6 linked regions of the Canis lupus familiaris genome follow. The protein of the gene in region 4 interacts with the protein of the main gene of each other region in a pairwise test. Links are inferred from orthologs where the notes say so. Each region holds a gene or a part of one and is shown on either strand. Other genes may lie near its edges.

What was found.
Region 1: the proteins of SDCBP2 (region 4) and LYAR interact in binary tests that used the Homo sapiens proteins (3 or more experiments, as listed by UniProt). The two-hybrid records come from large-scale screens. The link is inferred for Canis lupus familiaris from reciprocal best matches to the Homo sapiens genes SDCBP2 and LYAR.
Region 2: the proteins of SDCBP2 (region 4) and ZRSR2 interact in binary tests that used the Homo sapiens proteins (3 or more experiments, as listed by UniProt). The two-hybrid records come from large-scale screens. The link is inferred for Canis lupus familiaris from reciprocal best matches to the Homo sapiens genes SDCBP2 and ZRSR2.
Region 3: the proteins of SDCBP2 (region 4) and NPM2 interact in binary tests that used the Homo sapiens proteins (3 or more experiments, as listed by UniProt). The two-hybrid records come from large-scale screens. The link is inferred for Canis lupus familiaris from reciprocal best matches to the Homo sapiens genes SDCBP2 and NPM2.
Region 5: the proteins of SDCBP2 (region 4) and YTHDC1 interact in binary tests that used the Homo sapiens proteins (3 or more experiments, as listed by UniProt). The two-hybrid records come from large-scale screens. The link is inferred for Canis lupus familiaris from reciprocal best matches to the Homo sapiens genes SDCBP2 and YTHDC1.
Region 6: the proteins of SDCBP2 (region 4) and ZCCHC10 interact in binary tests that used the Homo sapiens proteins (3 or more experiments, as listed by UniProt). The two-hybrid records come from large-scale screens. The link is inferred for Canis lupus familiaris from reciprocal best matches to the Homo sapiens genes SDCBP2 and ZCCHC10.

What each region holds. Positions count from the first base shown.
Region 1 is NC_049224.1:70,304,479-70,308,416, forward strand, and holds the start of LYAR (cell growth-regulating nucleolar protein), read right to left. Parts: upstream 2,801-3,938; 5' UTR 2,670-2,800; intron 1-2,669. Other genes in the region: ZBTB49 (zinc finger and BTB domain-containing protein 49), read left to right, coding at 3,919-3,938. UniProt on the Homo sapiens protein: Plays a role in the maintenance of the appropriate processing of 47S/45S pre-rRNA to 32S/30S pre-rRNAs and their subsequent processing to produce 18S and 28S rRNAs. Also acts at the level of transcription regulation.
Region 2 is NC_049260.1:12,088,425-12,092,378, forward strand, and holds the start of ZRSR2 (U2 small nuclear ribonucleoprotein auxiliary factor 35 kDa subunit-related protein 2), read left to right. Parts: upstream 1-1,154; 5' UTR 1,155-1,519; coding exon 1,520-1,560; intron 1,561-2,005; coding exon 2,006-2,085; intron 2,086-3,954. UniProt on the Homo sapiens protein: Pre-mRNA-binding protein required for splicing of both U2- and U12-type introns. Selectively interacts with the 3'-splice site of U2- and U12-type pre-mRNAs and promotes different steps in U2 and U12 intron splicing.
Region 3 is NC_049246.1:35,389,673-35,393,770, reverse strand, and holds the start of NPM2 (nucleoplasmin-2), read left to right. Parts: upstream 1-1,298; 5' UTR 1,299-1,334; coding exon 1,335-1,392; intron 1,393-1,496; coding exon 1,497-1,582; intron 1,583-1,733; coding exon 1,734-1,859; intron 1,860-4,098. UniProt on the Homo sapiens protein: Core histones chaperone involved in chromatin reprogramming, specially during fertilization and early embryonic development. Probably involved in sperm DNA decondensation during fertilization.
Region 4 is NC_049245.1:20,190,828-20,194,327, forward strand, and holds part of SDCBP2 (syntenin-2), read left to right. Parts: intron 1-814; 5' UTR 815-833; coding exon 834-887; intron 888-1,538; coding exon 1,539-1,593; intron 1,594-2,322; coding exon 2,323-2,423; exon of another isoform or gene 2,424-2,427; intron 2,428-3,500.
Region 5 is NC_049234.1:59,679,523-59,683,022, forward strand, and holds part of YTHDC1 (YTH domain-containing protein 1), read left to right. Parts: intron 1-3,007; coding exon 3,008-3,109; intron 3,110-3,448; coding exon 3,449-3,500. UniProt on the Homo sapiens protein: Regulator of alternative splicing that specifically recognizes and binds N6-methyladenosine (m6A)-containing RNAs.
Region 6 is NC_049232.1:21,275,405-21,279,668, reverse strand, and holds the start of ZCCHC10 (zinc finger CCHC domain-containing protein 10), read left to right. Parts: upstream 1-1,464; 5' UTR 1,465-1,925; coding exon 1,926-2,119; intron 2,120-4,264.

The sequences.
Region 1 (3,938 bases), on a different chromosome or scaffold from region 4:
CTTCTGAAAATTCAGTCCCTCTAAGGGAAGAGGGCAAGCACTGCCTTAAAAATTTAAACTTCCACAAATCTCACAAAACTAAGTAAATGTGAAAGAACCTTAAACTTTCAAATGGATGTTTTTGGTAAATGTGTAACATTTATACTTTTGGCAATTTGGAAAGCTGAAAGCCAGTTGCATTAAGACGTTATGATACCCTATCCACAGGGCTCAGATATTACATATTTCAACTTTTAGCCCACCGTGTAAAGACATGATGGCATGCTTCATTGGGCTAAATAAAGATCCCCTTTTCCTTTCCTGGCTCAGGATAGCCACAGAGATTTTTTTAAAGATTTTATTTATTCATGAGAGATGGAGAGAGAGAGAGAGAGAGAGGCAGAGACACAGGCTGAGGGAGAAGCAGGCTCCCATGCAGGGAGCCCGACACGGGACTCATCCCAGAACTCCAGGATCACACCCTGGGCTGAAGGTGGCGCTAAACCGCTGAGCCACGGGGGTTGCCCAGCCACAGAGATTCTGTGTGCTCTTCCATCTAGAGATGGGGACCCATGAAAAGAGAAAGCAGTGTTCGTGGACTAGTCAAAAGCATACTCAAGTTTTCACTCCAGTTAAGTCACTGTGATTCATTTCGGCAGACCTCTGGTCAATGCCGAGTGTGCACTGGGATCCACATGCACCCGGGTGCCTTCCCCAAAGGAGGCCAGTCCCTGTGTGAGCTTCTGACTGTCCGTTCACCTTATGATCTTCTCAGCACATGCTACAAGCCAAGAAAAAGATGATGAGTTACAGAACACGATCGCTAGCTCTCCATAAAGCCACTTCATACTAATAGTCAGAATTGCACCCAACACCTCTACAACAGGTATGATCACATTACCACCCCAGCATCTGTAAGAAATAGTGGAGGCTCAGAGAGGTTAAGTGATTAGGCTGGAGACATAGGGAGTGGCAGAGGTAGCCTGAGACAAGCTCCTGCCCTGCTCCTCTCTCTTGACTTGTCATGTTTTTCGCCGTTTGCTTGGCCACTACTCAGTGAGCAGAAGCCGGAGGCCCTCATCCCAAAAGAAAAACTAAAAAAAAAAAAAAAGAGCAAAAACAGCAAAGGCTCTACAGTGACCTTCCATTTTACACCGAGCAGAGATACCATCCTTGTCACAACTGAGGTCAGGTGTCAGAAAATGAGTCTGAGTTGAGGGGAGCAGGCAGCAATAACAAGGGGCTGGGAACTTATGAGGGACTTGGGACACCTCAGGGGTCCTCTTACCAGGATGGTGGCCCTGTTTGGTTGAATGTTGTTGACTCAGGGCCAGAGATCTGAGCTGGAGCCAGCATCTACCAATGAAAAATGACCTCAAGCTATCCTAACTTCCCAGATTCTGTTCATCTATAAAATGGGTCCAAAATCTATCTTAAGAGCTTTGTGTGGAAGATAAGAAATAGGAAAGATTCATCCTTACCCAACAGTAGAAAGTATTTCCTATGACCTATTAATTTGCCCACTCCACCACCCTGTTACCTGATACAAGGGCCTCATATTTAGTTCTAGAATTGGGTTCTAGAGTTCTTTTTAAACCTTCCTGCCTTTACATTTTTATATTGTTTATTTCTGCAAACACTACACTCCCTATTCTTTAAACATTCTCGCACAGGCATGTAGGCGCAGACCTAAACCTCAAACAGCCCACCTGTGAGGTGGGGGGGGGGGGGGGGGGGCAGGCTGGCAACCACAGCGCAATTCCCAGTGAGCCCCACGACCTCCAACAAGTCACTGTCCCCTCTTAGCTTCGGGTCCTCCCATCTGTGAAGCGAGGTGCCAGGAGCCCCTTCCAGGGGTGGAATTCCAAGACACGAAGGGTATGGCGCAAGGGAAGGACAGAGGAGTACACACTGCCTCCCATGTGGCCTCAGCCTGCGGGGTGACGAGGCTCCCCATGTGCACTCACCCTGTGAGGCAGGTACATCTATGTCCACCCAACAGATGGGCGCACCGAGGCGGGGCCAGTGGAGCCATGTCCCCCCGCCTCCCCAGAACTACATCACCAGCATCCCTTGGGTGTATCGGTATCCGTGCAAGTCTAGCGCGGGTCAGACGCGCTGTGCTAGGCTCTGGGCCTGGGGGTGCTGGGTGAGTCCCAAGGAGCCCTCCGCAGGGAGGTCAGCCGTGCAAGTACCCCCCACGCCGTTCCCCAGTCTCCCCGGAAGCAGGTGCTGCAGGCAGCCCCGTCCTGGGTGGCCAACAGGTCTGCGCGCGTGCAATCCTCGCAGCAGATCTCGGGTTCTGTGTTCGCCCCTTCGTAGACCGACAAACGGCGGCACAGGAGGAGTAACTCGCAGGTCACCCGCGGAGCTAGGGGCAGACCTGAGTCGCGGGCGGCGGCCGGGGCGCCCTCCGTCGGTCCAGGCCGCCCCGGAGGGACGCAGCCCCCCAGGCCTCGGGGAGCGCGAGCTGGCCCGCCTCGCAGCCGGCCGCAGCCCAGCCCCGCGGGGACCCTGCGCGAGGACCGTCCCGCCTCCGACCAGGCTCTTCGCCGCCCGCGGGACGAAGGCCACGGGACGGCCCGCCTCGTCCTTCCGCGGGGAAAGCCCCAGGAGGGGTCCAGCGGTGGAAACGCCGGCGCCAGCCCACCGCCCGCCCAGCCCCAGCCTCCCGCGGCGCCGCCCCTCACCTCTCCGCCGGCGCCCGCCAACGGTTTCAACCCGCCGCGAGGAGCACGTGGAGACGCAGCCGCCCGTCCCGCGCCGCAGCCGCCTCCCTCCGGGCGCCCCCCCGCGCCTGCGCCGTCCCGGCGGAAGTGACGTCCCCGGAAGCCGGAGGCGGATCCGGCCGGCCGAGGGGGCGTTGTCGGGATGGTTCCGCGGCCGGCGGCGCCCGGCGAGCGGCGCTGAGGGCGGCTGGCGGAGAGGCGGCGGCTGGCGGAGAGGCGGCGGCGGCGGCGGCGGCGGGGCGGGGAGCGGCCTCTCCGGTAGGTGCCGTCTGGCGGGAAGGCCGGCCTCGCGAGGGCGCGGCGCAGGGAGCCGGCCTAGGCCGGGGCCGCCGCCGCCGCCACTCCCGCCCCGGGCAGCCTGAGGGTCGCGCGGCGGCCGGCTGCGGTCCCGGGCTCCCCCCGCCCCGCCCCGCCCCGGGCGGGCCCTCGGCCTCCGGGGGCGGCGGCCTCGGTCGGGGGCAGCGCCCGGGCCCGCGGCGGCCCAGGTCCCGTGGAGCCGAGCGCGCGTGCCGCGGCCGCAGGGACGCCGCGCGGTCGGGGTCGGGGTCGGCGCCGGGAGGAGGGTGATCCCGGGGCGGGGGCGGCGGCGGGGGTGGGGGGGGGGGGCTGCGCCTGAAGGGCCCTGCGTGGGTCTGCCCGGCCCGCCGACGGCGGTTTTCCGGCGGCTGCGGAGGCGGGGGCCCGGCGGCGGCCTCCGGCGGGGTTTGCACTGGGGCATCCCCCGCGCCGCGCCGGGCCCGCACCCGCCCTTCTCGCCGGGACGTCCGCAGGGCCCTGGGGGGGGGAGGCGGGGGGCAGGATTCAGGCCATCACAGAAGGGATTCACCGGAACGGGCCGGGAAGAAAACGTTGTTCCAACAGAAGTGACTGACAGCGTGGCCTGGAGGTTTCAAGAGCAGGATGCTTGAGGCGCTTGGGCCCTGCGCGTCTGTTTCCATGTGCTCCCCCAGGAAATCCCCAGGAGGGGGCCTCTCTCGAGCCTGTCTCTGTAGCTCAAGCTTTCAGCCTTCACTCGGCTCACATGTCTCTTCCTCAAGAAGTCTTCCCTGACCTTCCTCCTCCAAGTTAATTTGGATTTCCCTCACTTGGTATCTCCAGGACAGCGGCGTTCTCGTCTCCCCGGAGTCCGGGGCACGAGGGTGCCAGAGCACGTGGCCCTGGGGCCCGAGACAGAGGCTGACAAAACTCAAAGGCCGAGAGACGGGTGGTGATGAAGCAAGAAAGGGACTC
Region 2 (3,954 bases), on a different chromosome or scaffold from region 4:
TGAGCCAGACAAATTTAATTTGGAGGTATATTATTCCAAGTATCTCTCTAAGAGGGAGTAGGGCAAGGCTTTATGCAGTTTGGGGGTTTGCTGAGTGATTCCAAGGATGGACTAGGAGAAGCAGGTGCAGTTTAGTAATTGGGTAGCTCAGTGATTTTGAGTTGGAGGAGAAAGGAACAAAGCTAGGCCAGGGAAGTTATCCAATCTTCCTCAAAATATGGAGGTTGTTAATCATTCTGTAGCTACAGCATGTCCTCAAGAGAAGCATTCTTTTTTCTTGTTCTTGTCTTTGCCCTTGTATATGTACATCACAGTCTGATTATTGACAGGGCTGATTTTACTTTCTCAATCCTATTTTCACTGTCCCAGTTTAATGTCTCATCTAGATTGTGATATTGCAGCTTTATATTGCAAACCAGAGTAATTTACCTAAGACATGAATGGGACAACAAACCTCAACTTAAAAGCTTTTAGATGGTTTCCTGTTGCTTACAGAACGTAATTAACGCTTCTTAGCATAATTTGCTAGGCCGTTCTACATAACCCAGGCCTAAGCCACCTCAACCGCTGTTGCTTTTTTAAAATATTTTATTTATTTATGAGAGAGAGAGAGAGGCAGAGACACGGGCAGAGGGAGAAGCAGGCTCCATGCAGGGAGCCCAACGTGGGACTCGATCCCAGGACCCCAGGATCACGCCCTGGGCCGAAGGCGGCGCTAAACCGCTGAGCCACCAGGGATCCGAACTCGCTGTGTTCCCTGATACTCTGGAACTTCCCTTTAAATTCGATGGTCAAAAATTTTTGCGGTTGCGACCAATTCCACATTGCTCCACTTCTCAGTGCCTTTGCTTATGCGCATTTGCCATTCCCACCCGGGAATCTCGCCGTTACCTTCCTGAAAACTCAGGCATCAGAAAGTTCTCCCTGAATCCCCGGTGGCCTGTTAAGTAAACTACGTTCCCTCTACCATATTTATCAATGTGTCGGTTCTTTTGTGCCTCTAGACAGCACATTCCTTGGGAGCAGAAGTCAGGCGTTTACAGCCCAGGTGTTGGGTTTCCCTTCTGAGGTAGCAGGTACGACGAGAACGGGGCGGAGTCTGGAGTTCGTCTGAGGGGCTGATAGGTGGGCCCGCGGAAGGCGAGTGACGTAGTGGGACGAGGTTTCGTGAGTGGATGGGAACGAGAAAGAAATGGGACTTTAACTTCCTGGCCACAAGACAGACTGCTATGGTGTGGGGGCAGGCAGTGATAAGGCAGTGGGGGAGCGCTAGGAGGGAAGAATTACTTTCAGGGACACGAAAGAATTTTCGGGAAGAAGACATTTGTTGGTGGGCGTTCTGGAAGACTACCCGCCCCCCGGAACCTGGCGTCTTCCGTACTTGGTCCTCCCCGGCGGAGGCACGCTCCCCCCCCCGACCCCCCCTTGCGCCTGCGCGCGGCCGCGCCCTTGCTCTTAATCCCGCCTCTTCCGGCCACCTCTACGGGTGGGGTGCTGGGGGTGTGGTGGCCCTGGCAAGATGGCGGCTCCCGAGAAGATGATGTTTCCGGAGAAACCAAGGTAAGCTGGGTTGGGGGGGTAATGAGCCGCTGAGAAGACGGGACGGGGCCAGCCGAGCCTGGTGATGAAGGATGTGCAAGCCGGAAGGAAAGGGGAGCTGGGCCAAGCAGGCGAGGCACTGCTGCCGCTCGAGCCCTCCCCTTGATGCACCCCGGACTGTCAGGGGCGCCTGTGGGCTGAGGTAATGCGAGGAGGTGAACAGGTGGCGGAATGGAAAAGACCTGCCGGCTGGTCATGGAATGGCGAGGCGATAGTGAATACGTGTTCCGTAATTAAAGCACGGGAAATAAGAATTCACTCCCGGGCACCGGAGCGATTTCCTGTCACTCAGAGCGGCTAGGGGGCGGGAGGCGACGGGGGGGCGACGGGGGGCGCGTGAGCACGCTCTGGCAGCGGCGCAGGTGCGGTCAATTGACGCTAGTGTGTGCCTGTTTCAATTTTCCAGCCACAAAAAGTACAGGGCTGCCCTGAAAAAGGCGAAACGAAAGAAACGACGGCAGGAACTGGCTCGATTGAGAGACTCAGGTAACCGGCTCCTTAGCCCGTTTTCTGTGTATGAAATTGCTCTCTCCGCTCCCGTCCTAACTTGAAGCCCCAGTGCCAGAGGAAGCCAAGTACTGACCTGCTGAAAATCGCTGCGCCTATTGCCTTCCAAATAAAGTGATCTTAGACCCATTTCACAAACGATATTAAAGTACTAAAGGGGGAAAGACGTCATGCTAAATCAATCCCTGATTGTGTGTATTTATGAAGTATCTGGTATTACCGGTGCAGACATCATGAATTACAGCAGCTAGCACAGCCCTTGCACATAGTAAGTATTCAGCGAATATCTTCATCTAAAACCAGCAGGACTTGAGGGGTTTACACATTTTGCAAATTTTTCTCAAACTTCAGTAACATGGGAGACCCTTTGACTCAAATTATTATTGTCATTTAAATATACACAAGCATAAAACCAGATATGAAACTCTTATTAGACTATAAAACAATACATGTACAGGTTATAAAGCCAAGTGAAATTACACATCCAGTAAAATTCAAATTTAGATTAATGTAACATTAGGAATGAGGTAAAACAAGCTTACAGCATGAATATGGTACTGAGTGGAGTTGGGAGTGCCACTACTGTTGCCCTCTGGTTATTTGCCAGTTGTTTTTCCTATTAAAGTGCTTGTGGCACCTTCATCTGTACTGGCTATGGTATCATTTATCCTTCACGTGTCAGAATCTAACAAATATATATTAAACCTGCCTGTTTAATACAGCAAAATTAGTACTAATTTACAAAATTATATATTAGTTATAAATGTGGATGGAAGCACTGAAATCGCACAGCAGTACTGTGTTATGTTTGCATCTAGACTATCCAGGCAATCCTCAGACCTTTTTATTTATTTTGACATATAACTGATTACTTTGTAATGATTTGGTACTTGTGTACATTGCAATAATGTATCTAGACAATTCTTACAGTCCACAGGCAAGGGCCTCAAGTAACCAGTATTCAGTATTCACTAGCCATGTGAAACATAGTTGTAGACATGTAAATTACTTTTTGATTATTTTTAGAAGCGATACTTGGAATATTTAGAATGGGAGGAGCAGGGTGTTTACCTGTGACCTGTTACCATCTCTCTTTTATTCAAAACTGGACCACTAAAGGCAGGACAAAGCATCAGGGATAAAAAACAAAAGGAAAAAAGAGTAGGTTGGAGTTATTGATGCCCTTGGTGTCTGTGCCCCCCCTTCCCCTCAATAATCTTAGCTACCTTTTTTAACTTAGCCTGTGTTTTTCCAATATAACTTCTTTTTTAACTTCTTAATCATTTTCTCCCCTGTTCTAAATCCTAGAACTATTGTTTGTATTGTGTTGAATTTTTTTTCCCCTTTTGACTTCACAGAGTGCTTTCAGAGTGAGCCTTTGTGGAGAGGTGTGGGTGGGATCATGTCCTTTGGCAGTCTAGTCAGTTGAAGAATGCAGTGACTGCATCAGGCTTATACAGCTAATGGCAGATCTAAGTCTAAGTACTTGTCTCTGGACTACTGCTCCTACTTTGGCCCACTCCAACTCCTAATTATTTACTCAGTGGTGCTTCGTGAATAGTGTGGCCTACCAAACATTGCTGTTCATTGTAGCACACATTGGATGGGCAACCAATACCCAGAAGGCTAGAATAGGGACATAGTCTATAAGAATTGCTGTAAGACCAAGTTGGAAAATGAGTGGTAGGAGTTTCTGGAATTTTGACCTCATTTGCAGATAGCCTCTTTAGCATCCAGTTCTACTTGAAATAGCTTGTGATGAGCTGCCTTGTCAGAAATTAAGGTGACATTAAGAATAAAAATCAAGTTGCATGATTCTAATACATATGATTGTATGTATGATACAAT
Region 3 (4,098 bases), on a different chromosome or scaffold from region 4:
GTGTTAAAAAGGGGAGGAGGAGCTGATTCCTGCACAGCAGAAGCTCCAGTCAAGGTTCCAGAGACATATTTCTAGTTCCTATAGCACCATTTTGGGCAAAGACTATCATTTCCTTTTTTTTTTTTTTTAAGATTTATTTATTTATTTATGAGAGAGAGAGAGAGGCAGAGACACAGGCAGAGGGAGAAGCAGGCTCCATGCAGGGAGCCCAATGTGGGACTTGATCTCGGGTCTTCAGGATCACACCCTGGGCGGAAGCCGGTGCTAAATCGCTGAGCCACCCGGGCTGCCCAAGACTATCATTTCCTTATTGAAAAGCATTGAGCGCTATATGTAGGTGCGAAGTTTCCTGGATGGGAGTGAAGGATGCAAGTGCAATGAGATCAACTATGCTTCATTTAAAGGAAAGAAGGAGGGAAAGAGGAAGGAAGGAAGGAAGGAAGGAAGGAAGGGAGGGAGGGAGGGATTAGAACTGAATCAGAGAGATCCCTGTTTTCTTCTGACTCGCAGAGATGTCACAGGAGGGAGACAGGGGGGATGTGGTCAGATGAAAACCCCCTCACCCTCACCCCCCCACCCCCCGCAAACATTTAATGCTCCGCTGTGCCCTGTGAGCTGCCCTTCAAGGGTGTCGGGTGGGGTATTCCTCACCCGCTGCCACGGCGGCCTCTGCTGACCAAACGCATTCGCCCTCTTGCTGGCCCCGGGAGAAACCCTCCTCCGGGAACAGGGCTCTTCCTCTCTGGGGACCGTGACCCTGGGGGTCCGGGCCTCCCGGCCTTGGAAAAGGCCCCCACCTAGGGGGGAGGGAGAGGGCAGGCCACCCACGCCGGGCAGCCTCACCCATCAGGCCTCGGCGAGTCCCCAGGGGCCGCGAACGAGGCGCTCGCAGCCGGGGCCTGGGGCAGCAGCAGCACCTTCACCTGCGAACCCGTTAGAAATGCGAAGCTCCCTGGGCGGCCCCAGCCCGCCGTGCCGAGCCCCGCGCAGGTGGGAGGGGCGGAGCTTCAGCGGCCGCAGGTGCGCGGGGCAGCCGGCGGGAAGGGCTGGGGAGCAGACTGCGGCAGGAGGGCCCCTCCTTTAAGGCTGGGGAGGCGCCCCTGCCGCGCCCCGCGGGCCTCCTGACAGCCGACCCGACGCGGCCCCTTTCCAGCCCCGGCGACCTCGGCGCCCAGCGCCCCGCCTCCCGCAGGCCGGGGGCTCGGGATCGGGGGGGAGGGATGCGGGGCGAGCGGGGCTGGGGGCCCGGCTCTGCTCACCGCGGACGCCCCTCCCGCACAGCCGCCGCGCCCCCCGCGCCCCGCGCGCCCCCCGCGCCCCCCGCGCCCCGCGCCATGAACCTCAGCAGCAGCAGCAGCGCTGCCGAGAAGGCGCCCGCAGCCGTGCTCTGGGGTGAGCGAGGGCCCGGCTGCTCCCGAGCCGGGTGGGGGAGCGGGGCGGGGAGCCGGGGAGCCCCCTCCCCCTGAGCCGGCCCCCTCGCTCCTCTCCCTTCTCAGGCTGTGAGCTCAACCAGGAGAAGCGGACCTGGACGGTCAAACCCCAGAAGGAGGGCAAGCAGGACTCGAAGCTGTTGCTCTGTACGGTGGGTGCCGCGCACCCCCCCCCCCCGCCCCCGGGAAGGGCGGCCGCCTGCAGCCCGAGGGGCCTGCACAGCTGCGGGGGGCGGGGGCAGGCGGACTCTCGGGGACCAGACCGCTCCGGTGGTGAGGGGGCCTGTCTTCAACCGCCCTCAGATTTGCTTGGGGGAGAAAGCCAAAGAAGAGATGAACCTGGTGGAAATCCTGCCCCCGGCCAGCCCGGACGACAAACAGGCCAAGCCCATCACCATCGCCTCGCTGCAGGCCTCCGTGCTACCCATGGTGAGCCTCTCCCCGCCGGCTTCGGGAGACTGCCCGCCCTGGGCACCTGCTCAGGCCTCACCCCCGGGGAGCGGATGGGCAGGCCCAGAGAGGGGGTGCAGGCCTCCTGCAGGGGGGCAGCGCTGCCAGAGAGGCCCTGTAGCCCATGACCGAGAGCCCTGGGTTTGGAGGCAGAGAGCCCCACTTCCATCCCAGCCCACCCTTTCCTAGCTGCGTGACCTTGGGCAGGTCCACCGCTCTTCAGAATCACCTTTTTTTTTTTAAAGTTTTTGATGCTGCTGAGAGGACACTGTTGATGACTTCCATACTGATTGTCCATCCAGAAACTCTCTTATTTCTAATAATTTATCATGAGTTCTCTTTGCAAATCATCATTGTTAATGGCATTTTTGTGTGTCTTTTTTAATCTGACTATGCTGCCTAGGGTCTCCAGTATAATATCGGGTAAGATTATAACGGTAAATGTCCTTGTTTCATTCTTGGTGTGTGTATGTGTGTGTGTGTGTGTGTGTGTATACACACATATATATCGTGTGTATATATATATCTTGATATATATATCATGTATATTTTTATAGCTTATTTATTTGAGAGTGTGTGTGAGCATGGTGGGGAGGGGCAGAGGGAGAGGAAGAAAAAATCTTAAGCAGACTTGGAGCTGGTGCAGGGCTGACCCTGAGATCATGACCTGAGCTGAAACCAAAAGTCTGCTGCCTAACTGAGCCACGCAGGTGCCACTCTATGTATATTTTGAAAGGAATGCTTCTAATGTTTCTCCACCATGTTTCTCCACATGTTTGGTAAGCCTAGTCCTGCTCTGCCTTTTAAAACTGGGATTTCTTCATTTTAATCGTAAATGGTTATCAAATGCTTTTCTATTCAGGTCACCATAAGCTCTTTTTTCTTTAACCTGTTAATGTGGTAAGTTATATTAATAGAATACTATTCAACCAACTTTGCATTCCTGACAAACACTACTTGATCATACTATAAATTTCTACATTTGCTTTGCTAATATATTAAAACTTATATTTAAAAAAAAACCTTATATACTCAGGAGTTTATAGGCCAACCACACTTATCTTATTTGAGTGTCAAGCGATACTAGCCTCTCGAACTAGGGGATGTAGTGTTCTCTCCTTCTATGTGGTGGAACAGTGAATGTGAGACCAATGTCCTCTGTCCCTAATCCGGGAGGTTTATCTGTAAAACTGCCCTCAAACCCTTTTTTCCCTTCTATCTATGAGATTTCCCTAGACCATTCCTTGCCAGGGTTTTAAAGACCATTTATGCAAATGAACACTCTGGTATTTATTTCTGCCACTCTCTTTCATGCTCCAAATCCTCTGTCCAACTCAATATATTTAATAGCTATCTAGGAGAGAACCCATACTTAACAAATCTAAATCCAAACTCTTGATTGTTATCTATAATCTCTTCCCCCACCCCCAAACCTGATCCTCTCCCAGGATATAATTGCTCTTCCAGTTAATCAGGACAAAAACTTCCTTCTCAAACACTGCATATCACCAGCAAATCCTGTTGGCTCTACCTTGAGAGTATACACCAGTCTGACCACCTCTCACCACCTCCCTTCTATACCCTGGTCTGGATGACCATTACCTCTTGCTCAATTTTATTGCAGGGCCTCCTATCTGGTCTACCTACCTCAACCCTTGGTTCCTTATAGTCTGTCTATTCCAGGGTTCGACAAACTGCAGGATTAAACCCAGCCCAATGCCTATTTTTGTAAATAAAGTATTATTGAAACACAGCCACACTCTTATGCCTGCTATTTTCCCTTGGTAACAGCAGAACTGAGTCATCTCCACAGAGACCGTATGGTTCATAAGCCTTAAATATGTATCAAATACAGAAAAAATTTCCCCAACCCCTGGTCTATTCTATGCACAGCTGCCAGAAGGATCCCTGTATTGTTTATTGTTTTGTTTTGTTTTTTAGCATTTAAGTGATCTCTACACCCAATGTGGGGCTCAAACTAAGACCTCAAGATCAAGAGTTATATATTCTTCGGACTGAACCGGCCAGGTACCCCTAGAAGGATCCTTTTAAAAGTCAGACCATGTTGCTTCTCTGCTAGAACAGTTAGGTCAGTGGTTTCCCATTTCACTTAGGATGAAATCCAAGATCATTTATGTTCTAGCCCGCAAAAACCTCTCTCAATTCCAACCTCTGCTACTCTCTGCTCCCTAACCCTATTCAAACCACGCTGGCTTCC
Region 4 (3,500 bases):
AAGTCAATAGGCCCTTCTGCATGAGCCTGGGATGTCTTAGCCCTGCTTAAAGCCCCCCCGGTGGCTCACCACTACTCTCAGTATCTAGCCCATATTCTCTAAAGTGGTCCCCACAGACTTCTGTTTCCTCCAGAGATTGGAACTGGTGGCTCACAGGCCATATGCAAACAGATTTTATTTGACCTTGCAGAGTACTTCATACATTCAAATTAGTTGTCTAAATGCAAAACTCAAGACACTGCCTTTAAGAAGCTTGGAGCTTTACAAGGAGAGAAGTGGAAGCCTAGGCTAAGATCAAGGCTGGAAATGGGTGGTATACAGTAGGTGCTCAAATACTCAGAGGGGAACAGGGATGTGGCTGTGAGGGAGGGATTCAAAATGCCCTGCTGCCTTTCTATTGTAATTAAGACCCCTGGAATTCTGTGCAGTTGTGGGATGATGCTGTACGCAGCAGATGCTCACTATGAACTTGCTGGAATGAATTTGGGTCTTGAGTGACCAGACCCCCTCAGCCCACCTGACCTTTGAAACTCCTGCTCTTCCTGGCCAGCGTGTCCTGGGTGGTCCCCTAGGTCTGGGGTCTGAAGCCCAGAGTCAGTTGAACAGGTGGGATGGAATTTTGCAAGGGTGGAGATATGGGCTTGGGAACAAAACAGATTTGGGTTCAGACTCAGCTCCCCCATCTCCAAAATGGGCATGATACCTTCCTGATATCTCTCTTGTCCTGAGAGTCCTGAGTGGCACCCATGGGCGCGAGGCAGACATCCATGCTTCCTCTCACCCCTCACCCCTCCTCACTCTCTGTGCCCTGAAGGGTGTTCTGAGGAACAGCCATGTCTACCCTGTACCCGTCTCTGGAGGACCTGAAGATGGACCAAGCCATTCAGGTAAGCCACTGGGCATGTGTTAGTCTAGGCCCTCGTGGGCCCTTTGTGATTGTCCCAGGGTGAGTAAGGGAGGCTTGTCTTGAAAGGTGCTGGGTGTTGCAGGTCACCACTGCAGGGCCTGCTGGTGGACAGGAGGCTAAGGCAGTGGAGTTACAGCAGGAGTGGAGAAGGCCAAGCAGCTGCAGATAGGCCTGTGCGTCCCAGCACTTCCTCCATCCCCGTTCAGGTAGACGCCACACTGTAGACAGGCTTCCAGAGTAGACCCCTTGGGCATGGCATGTGGCCTGCTCATCCCCAGAAGCTTCTTCCTTCCATCCACCTTCCATCCACCTGCAGTTCCAGTGGGTTTTGAGAATTTGGGACTTGTCGACTGAGAATTTCGTTGGGAGGTGGGTCTTGATGTTCTGGATGCCTCACGTAGCAAGCGGGTCATGACATTTGGTGGGTTGGGCGCTACAGGGAGAACCTTCCCCAGAAACATGGACATCTGCAGAGACCACATTTACACATCTCCGAGTTCCGTTGGATGCGCCACCCTACCCTAGGCCTGCCAGCATAATTAAGGCCCTGACCCTCAGCCCCAGGGAGCCCCAAGCTCCAAGGTCTGCGGGTCCTGGCCACAGCTGATCAGTGCATCTCACCTCTCCCCAGGCCCAGGCCAGAGCTGCAGCCAGGATGCCCGCCCTGCCAGTCTCCCAACCTTCAGGTGAGCGAGCCGGGGTGGGGTGCTCCTGACTGACAGTGACCTCTTGTGGCCACTTCCAAGCACTGCCTCTTGCCTGCCGCCCTGCTGTGGGCTTCCTGCACATTTTACCCCCGCCAGAACCCTCTGAGGGGACCCTGAGAATTCTGTGGCTTAGTGAGAAGACCAAATCCTCTGATGTGGGACTAACTTCTATGGCCAAGTGAGGAGACCGGGATGTTTGTGGTGGCCCCCAGAGATGATGGCAGTCCTGATTCAGGTCCTGTGGCAGCTACCTTGACCACAGGCCCACTCTTTCCCTCCTCACTGTGCATTTTCCTGGGAGCTGCCCTGGGGTCAGATGCCTGCCTCCCACAGCCCGCCTCTCCCCATCCCGTGGATTTCCTAGGAGCCGGGGCCTCACGTCCCCAGCACCAGCCCTGTGCTTGGTGTCGCATGTCTGGCTGGTGCCAAATAAAGTCTGTTGCGTTGAACAGCCAAGTGGTTCGTACATGAGGGATTCTGTGTCCCAGGCTGCTCCTGGCGAGATCACTGCCCCTCAGCCCTCCTGAGGGGAGAACCCACATCACCAGCGAGTGTTCCCTTGCCCTCTCAGGAGTAAACAGTGTCCCTGGGCCCTGTTTATTAATACAGCTGAGTGACACGGGGGAGCCAGGCAGGCGTGGCCAAGCACGCACCCCTGAGTAACACCTCTCCTCTTCCTTCCCTTCCCTTCCCTTCCCTTCCCATCAGTTTTGTACCCGAGCCTGGCGGACTTGGAAAATTATATGGGTCTTTCCCTCTCCAGCCAAGAAGTCCAGCAGAACCTGCTTCAGCTTCCAGAAGGTGCTGGTGTAGGTATTCTTCTCTTGCCTGATGTGGGCACAGAAATGTTCCAACTTGCCCTCCTTGGTTTCGCCGTTTGCACAGACTGGAAGCTCCTGCTCCCTGGCGTGCCTGCGGCTCTGTTTCTTGATGGCACTTCTCATTTTGACCCGTCATTAAAAGTGCTGTGGGGTTTCCTGCAGTCTTGGGCAGAGCTGGAGGACCACTGCCTGCCCCTTGACCTCTGGCTTCGGGCTGCTGGATGAGAAGGGAGGCGTTAAACCCAGCCTGAGCCTGGAGGCATCTAATGTAGGAGCGCCTGTGCCTTGAGAGCTGTTGCCTGGATGGCAGAGCCGAGAGGGGGAGCAGCTTGTCACCCAGCTCTGGTCCCCAAATTAAACCACAATGCTTGCTTGATTCCTGCTCTCCATGGTTTTGGGGAGCAAGAGACATCATGACACTGAAATATTCCCTCCTGAAAATACGCTCATTCAGAGACCCAGTGCCCACCCAGACCCCCTCCCAGTGGGCTCCAGCATCCCCACGGGCCGTTGGTCAGCGTGCTTGTCTGCTGTCCTGTCCCCAGGCTGCTGAAAATTGGTGGCAGAGCACAACCCCAAGTCCTGTTGAGGCTGAAGGGTTTCGTGAAGTGAAGGGAGTGAGGATGAAAACTGCCACAGCCACACACACACACACACACACACACACACACACACACAGCCACTGGCAGATGAGGGTCTGACAGGAGAAAGGCCACCAGGAAGGGGACACGTGGGGCCTGGGGTGTTTCCCCACAATAACCCCCCATAGTCATGCTGTGAAATACAAACTTCGAAGCAAAGAAAGTCCCATGGTGTATACTTCCCTTGTCAGCCTTTGACTGAATTTCTCTTCGTTCCAATAATGAGGACGTGAGTGCATTTCACTGAAATGTTGATACAAATATGACAGGTGGATTCATTTTTATAGCTAAAAGTTTTATTTTTAACTTTTTATTTTTCAATAATCATGAACTCCTGGGAAGCCACAAAGACAGTATAGAGAAGGGCACAGAAAGCTGTACCCTCCAGCGAGTGTTCCTAATGGTTATGCAGGAAGTGGCTGCA
Region 5 (3,500 bases), on a different chromosome or scaffold from region 4:
CAGGATTACACCCTGGGCTGCAGGCAGCGCTAAACCGCTGCGCCACCAGGGCTGCCCCCACAGTTCGATTATTGATATCATGAAATATAAAATGGATAAAAATAAGTGGACCGTTAAGTGAGGATGTAGTGTTTGATCTTAAAGTAAATTTCAAGATGCTATAATGTCAATTATACAGAGCTCTGTGGTACATTAGTTTTTTTTTTTTTTTAAAGATTTATTTATTTATTCATGATAGACACAGAGATTGAGAGAGAGGCAGAGACACAGGAGGAGGGAGAAGCGGGCTCCATGCTGGGAGCCCGACTTGGGACTTGATCCCAGGACTCCAGGATCGCGCCCTGGGCCAAAGGCAGGCGCCAAACCGCTGAGCCACTCAGGGATCCCCTAAACATGACTCTTTAATAATATTTTGCATTTTTGTTATACTTTGTTTAAAGGTTTTTTTTTTTTTTTTTTTTTTTTTAATACTCCCCATCTAATTTAACTCTAGATTTAGAAAACCTGAACTGTAGGCTTGTACCCATCTATCTCTAGACATGAATTTGGCCACCCTATACTTATGTATCTGTGAAGTAATAGATGATAAACCATACTTTAGGTGTTTCGTATATGTATATAAGATACGTGTGAAAGTGCCAAATGTTAAAAAAAAGTATTGCTTAATATTTGTTGTCCTAAAAATTTGTAGCTTAAAAACAGCAGCCAGTCTCTGCATTTGACTTAATACAGTTAAGACTTTTTAAAACAATACCTTTTTGTAGGGAACCCATGATTTAAATATGCCTGAAATTTGCATTGATTTAAATTAACCTGAGCAGTTCCTTCATTCTGTGTTAGATTTAGCATATATAAAGTATATAACTTCATTTAAATGTTCAGGCTTTCCGGTTGATTCTGTAATACAAAGCTAGTAATTTCATGGAAAGATTTGTGTAGCACTATACTTACTTAATTGCCTATTTCATTGTGATAGGTTTTTTTTTTTTTGGTTTAGAAATGTAATTTTTGTGAAGATTGTTGGATTTACTTTTTTATTGACTAGAGAGCTAAAGTAAGGAAATCCATATAGTATGTATATTCATTTTAGAAAAATCGTAAAGTCCACTCTTTTTTTTTTTTTTTTTTTAAGATTTATTTATTTGACAGGGTGCACAGCGGCTGAGCCACCCAGGTGCCCCCTTGATGTTCTTGGCAGCAACTGTTGACTCAAAATACTAAGGAAGATGTTCTCTTAAACAGTAACTGTGTCTGACTCCAAATACTGAGATGTTACTTTTTCTGTACCCTGTGTAACCTTGTTTTCTTTCATATACCTACATTAAATATTTTAGTTCTCTTCAGTCACTGATTTCTGTCCCCCTTTGGAGATACTTTAGTTTCATTAACCTGTTTATAGACCTTAAGTCAGGTCAGTAGCCCTTGCTATAATTTTGAATGGGCTTTGCTTTTTGACTGGAACCATAAATGTAATTGTCCTGTCTCATCAGTGTTCATGACTTTATATTTCCCTTTACCACACTTTAAATTTGGGAAGATAAGCACCAGAATGCTTAGGTTCAAAGCATTTACCATTAGCTTTAGTGTATTATTAAAAAAAAAATCAATTTTATTTATTTTTAAAAAGATTTTTTTGTATTTGAGAGTGAGCATGAGCAGGGGCAGATAGAGAAGCAGGACACACCCCCCGCCCCTGCAGGAGGGAGTTGGACCTGAGGCTCAGTCCCAGGACCTGAACTGAAGGCAGATGCCTAACCAGCTGAGCTACCCAGGCACCCCTATTAAAAAAAATTTAAAGTAGTAAATATTTGCATGTATTTCTAGGATTTATTTTGTTCTGTTGGATGTGGCAGGAATTAAGGATGCAGTGCAAATACTGAGTTACAGGTTTTCATGATCATTAGTATGTCAGTTATAGTCAGTAGTTCTCTTGTCTAAATAAGTTAACATGTTTTATAGTTTGTATCAGCAGCCTGAAATGCTTTTGATTGTGTAGCACAAAAGTACTCTGTGTGTGTGTGTGTGTGTGTGTGTGTGTGTTGACATTTGGACAGAATAGCTATAAGAATAGTACAATATTATTGTTATTATTATTATTTTTTATTTTTATTTTTTTTACCTTTCAACCACTCCACAAATGTTGACTTCCCATATTATTTTTCTTGAGGTCATTTGCCCCTAATTTTCTCTGTGGATACATGCAGACACTTTTTCTGAACCAAATGTCAGTTGCAGGCATAATACTTTTTTGTTCTTGAATACTTAAGTATGTATTTCCTAAGAATTAGGACATTTACTTAATGATAGTATTATCAAAATCAGGAAACAGTGATATTTATAGACCTTATTATAATTTCACTAGCTTCCCAGTTATGTTTTTTATTCAGTTATCATGTCTTTTTTATCCTCCTTTAATCTGGAGTAATTTCTTACTGCTTGTAGTGCATGACCTTTCATTTTGGTTTATTTGATATTTTCTCACATATAGGTTCAGAGTTTGAATATCACAGATGTGTGCATCATGCCAGGTGGTCTGTGATACTGATTTGACTCACCTTGGTTAAGTTTGAATCTGTCATCTTCCTCTACTTAAAATTATTTTTTCTTGGTAATCAATAAGTATCTTGAGTACACATCCTTATTTAAGTGTGTGTGTTTATGTTACCTGCATGTATTTCTGTACTAATATTTTGTGTACGTTTTAGAGCAGTTAGAAAAATGAGAAATTATGTGATGAGATACAGATACAGAAGTTCTTGACATTTTCTTTTTTCGTAGTTTATCCTTTCATATCCTATGGGGTGGGTGTATACTACTCCTGGCTTTGTAGGTCTGTATCATGTTCTTTACTGTGAATGGTTTTATAGAATTAGTCTTGTATTTGGTCCTGAAATAAAAGGTCTTTGAGGGTTATGTTTTCATATTTACTTAGACCCAACATAGTAGTAGTAGAAGATAAATGCTTCATGGTAATGATTTTTCCCTATTTTTAATTCTTTGCTTTCAGATGGAGAACTTAATGTTCTTGATGATATTTTGACTGAAGTACCAGAACAGGATGATGAACTTTATAATCCAGAGAGTGAACAAGATAAAAACGAGAAGAAGGGTATGTAATATTTTTAAATTTTGTTAAAATAAGTTTAAATAAAGATTTAATTTATTAAGAAAGTGACTTTTTTTTCTTATTCCTTGAATCTGTTAACACCAAAGTACAATCATAACAAACTATGGTACCCAATTCTATATGAATAAAAGTGATCTATTGTTTTTCAAATGTGTAATATTTATATTTGCAAGCTTTTTTTAATGATTAACATTTTAGAAAATATTTTAAAGAAATTAGCCTTTTTTTTTTTCTCTGATACATATTATCTGTCAGTCTTTGGTGAAACAAATAGAATGCCTAAAATACTTTTATATGCTTTCTTTAAATTGTATTTTTAAGGATCAAAAAGAAAAAGTGACCGAATGGAATCTACTGACATCAAGCGACAAAA
Region 6 (4,264 bases), on a different chromosome or scaffold from region 4:
AATTTTAAATTATTTTAAATTTTAAAATAGATAATAATTTGCCACTAGGGTGACAAAACCAAGCAATGTCCACTTAAATATGAAGTGAAAGACTTTTAGCATCTAAAGAGTATTTCTATTATTTCAGAAGTAATAGAAAGTTGAACAAATACTGTTTTTCTATGGAATGCCTGTATTTTGTACATGAGCTACACAGAAAAATAAAAGACAAATCTTACCTCTAGGAGCTTCTTGTCTTGTTGGCAAGAAAACAAATGGTGTATAATAAAAGTAGTCATGGTATACAGAGTAAATCCTCAGGGAGTTGGAGAAGGAGACTTTTAGCATTTAGGGGAATCTGGTAGAGTTTGGGGAATATTTTGGGGGGAGAAACAAGAGGAACCATTACTTATCATTTTGTGTTCATCAGAAAGTTTTAATGTTATTTATAAAAAGCACATATTCCATAATAACAAGTTTTAGACTTTTTTTTTTTTAAATTGGTTATAAGAAGTTGAGAAAGTACTGTTGTTCTTTTTTTAAGACTCTGGACTAGTAGAGGGGAGGGAGGAAATAAAAGAGAAAAAAAAAGAGAGAGAGAGACAGCCTAAATTTGAACTTCTTATTCAGCAGATCTTTCAGGGAGTTAACTTTAAATCAATTGAAATGAAATTACTTTCAGTTTGTTAATTGTAATTACATCTGCTTATATGTAAGTAAATTGTAGAATCTTGGCACTATCTGGGGTCATTTCTTCTGCTAAACCTTCCACTGGATTCCAGTACTGTCTTCATCATCCAGGGGAATTATCTAACTTTAGCTTGAGGACCTTCAGGAAGGACATACTTACCTCCTAAAGTAGCCCGTTAGCTTTTTCAAATCTGTCAAAAAGTTTATGTGGAACTGAAGGGAAAATAATATTTATGAAGCTAAACCCCGCTCCTTTCTAATTTCCTAGGTTTGGACCTAAACTGTGGTTTCAGTTAATTAAAAACCCTAGGTGTTGGATGCGTGGGTGGTTCAGTCAGGTAAGCATCTGCTTTCAGCTCAGGTCATAATCGCAGAGTCCTGGGATCGAGCCCCATGTCCGGCTCCCTGCTCAGTGGAGAGTCTGCTTCTCCCTCACCATCTTCCCCTCTTCCACATTATGTGCTCGCTCTCTTGCGCTCTCTCTCTCTCTCTCTCTCTCAAATAAATAAAATCTTTAAAAAAAAAAAAAAAACCTAAGTGTTAATCAAGGTGTGATCAATTGCCATCAAGTCAGGCTTCCTCTGTCTTGTATTGATTTTCAGGACTTAAGTGTTAGACTTACTTTTACCCTTGTTAAATTTCATCTTGTTAGATTTGACACTGAGTTTTACTCTGTCAAGACCTTTTTTTTTTTTTTTTTTTTAAGATTTTATTTATTTATTCATGAGAGACACAGAGAGCGAGAGAGGCCGAGACACAGGCAGAGGGAGAAGAAGGCCCCATGGAGGGACCCTGACATGGGACTTGATCTGGGGTCTCCAGGATCACGCCCTGGGCTGAAGGCAGTGATCCACCTGATCCAGCTGAGCCACCCAGGCTGCCCTCAAGACCTTTTTGGATCTTCATTTGGTCATCTTTTGTATTAGCCCTTTCTCTTAGCTTTGTGTCGGCTACAGGTTGGATAAATAGGCACATCTGTGCCCTCCCAAGTCATTTCTAAAATGTTGAACAAGTCCAAACTGAAGACCAAGGCCTCAAGCCATCACTGGATACCTCTCTATACATTTACTTCAACCTATTAAACAGTAGTCTGTTGTCCATGATGATCAACTGATCTACCTAGTTATTCTGTTTTGTTCACAAGGATGTTGTAAGAGACTTTCCAAGATGCCTTATTGAAATTCAAATACCCAAAAGCCAATAAGGGTATTAGGTATAATGATTTGATAGTTGGTGATCAGGGCTTTTCTTTCTGAATGGATTTAATAAATCTAGCCAGAATTTTGCCTGGAATGGATGTCAAGTTCAGTGTTCTACTTTGTGGAATCTACCTTTCTCCCCACTTTGAAAATCAAAACTGCATTTGCCTACTTCCAGTCTTTCACTTCTGTTTGCCAGGATCTCTCAGATTACCAGCAGCAGTACAGTCATCTCACCTGGAAAATCTCTGGTATGTTTAGGGAGCAGTTACTTGGGCTGTGTGACTTAAACATATTCAGAATGGATAGAAGGGCTCTGTTACCCACCCCTCACTATCTTGGGGTTCAGTTCTACTCTTCTAATCATGCATATAATTGTGTTTGAGTGAAGACGGAAGCAAAATTAAAATAATCCTACTTTTACTCGTAGCCTACAACATCACATTGGTGGTGTGTTCACCTAGCACCCTGAATAATGAGCTATCCGTTTTTTGGTTCTTTAAAAATAGCTTTAGGGGCAGCCCCGGTGGCGCAGCGTTTGGCGCCGCCTGCAGCACAGGGCGTGATCCTGGAGACCCTGGATCGAGTCCCACATCAGGCTCTCTGTATGATGCCTGCTTCTCCCTCTGCCTGTGTCTCTGCCTCTCTCTCTGTGTCTCTATGAATAAATAAATAAAATCTTTAAAAAATAAAAAAATAAAAAATAAAAATAGCTTTAAATATAGCTAAAACACAAAATAATTTGTGTTCTTGATATTTTTCTCAAGCTTCAGCTTATTTTGGTAAGGCATTTATTTATATTAGGTTTAGATGTTTCTGTTACAGGCCTTTGTTGTTGTTTTTTTTTTTAAGATTTTATTTATTTATTTATTTATTTATTTATTTATTTATTTATTTATGAGAGACAGATAGGGAGAGGCAGAGACACAGGCAGAGGGAGAAGCAGGCTCCATGCAGGGAGCCTGACGTGGGACTTGAGCCCAGGTCTCCAGGATCACACTCTCAGCTGAAGGCGGTGCGAAACCGCTGAGCCCCCAGGGCTGCCCTGTTATAGGCCTTTGGCACTCTACTGTATTCTTTAGTTATATGTTCCTTTGAAAAATATCTTTTATGATTTGTTTTACGATTTCACATGCAATCCATGTTCATTATAGGAAAGTTGAAAATACAGATAATGAGAAAATATGCTATAATCATACCTCAAAGATAATCATTTTTACATTTTAATGTATAACCTTTCAGGTCATTTTTAACTTTTTTTAAAAAAATATTTTATTTATTTATTCATGAGAGACACAGAGAGAGAGGCAGAAACACAGGTAGAGAAGCAGGCTCCATACAGGGAGCCCAATGTGGGACTCGATCCTGGGACCCCGGGATCATGCCCTGGGCCGAAGGCAAACGCTCAACTGCTAAACCACCCAGGCATCCCCATTTTTAACATTTTAAATGGCCTCATAGTGTTCTTTATGGATAAACAATAACTTTTGGCCATTTCCTTTGCTCTTGCATAATTATTAGGTTTACTCTTTTTTTCTTTTCTTTCTTTCTTGAGTATAGTTGACACACAATGTTATGTTACAGTTATACACTACTGATTCCACAAGTTTATACATTATGCTATGCTCCGTGCAAGTGTAGCTACCATCAGGTTTACTCTTATAAACCACATTGTATCTCCTATAATAAATATACAACTCAATTTTTGCATACATCCATTATTCTCGGTTAACTGATATAGACATTTTTAAATCCAGTTTACTGATGTTTAATTTACATTTAACAAAATTCATTTTTTTATTGAAAGAGATCATGTGTGAGCAAGTGAGGGAGGGGAGGGGCATGGGGGTGCAGAGGGAGAGAGAATCTTAAGCAAGCTCCATGCCAGAACCCAGTGTAGGGCTCAGTCTCATGACCCTGAGTCCATGACCTGAGCTAAATCAAGAAACAAATGCTTAACCAACTGAGCCACTCTCTTTTTATTTTTATTTTTAGATTTTTTTATTTTTAAGTAATCTTTCCACCCATTGTGGGGCTTGAATTTATAATCCCAAGATCAAGAGTTGCATATTCTACCAACAGCCAAGGGCTCCAAAATTTATCCTTTTTAATGTACAGTTCTATGAATTCTGACAGATACCGATAGTCAGATAATCATTACCAAAATTAAGATATAGAACAATTTTATCATGAAAAATTTCTTCATGAGCCTTTGTAAGTAAACCCTTTACCCCACCCTCAGCCTCTGGAAACCACTGATTTTTTTCTGTCCCTATAATTTTACCTTTTCTAGAATGTTGTGTGAATAGAATCTATAAACCTTTTGAGTCCAGTGTCTTTCACTTGGTTAATTAATTCATTTGAGATCCACTGAAGTTCTTGCATGTATTAATAGT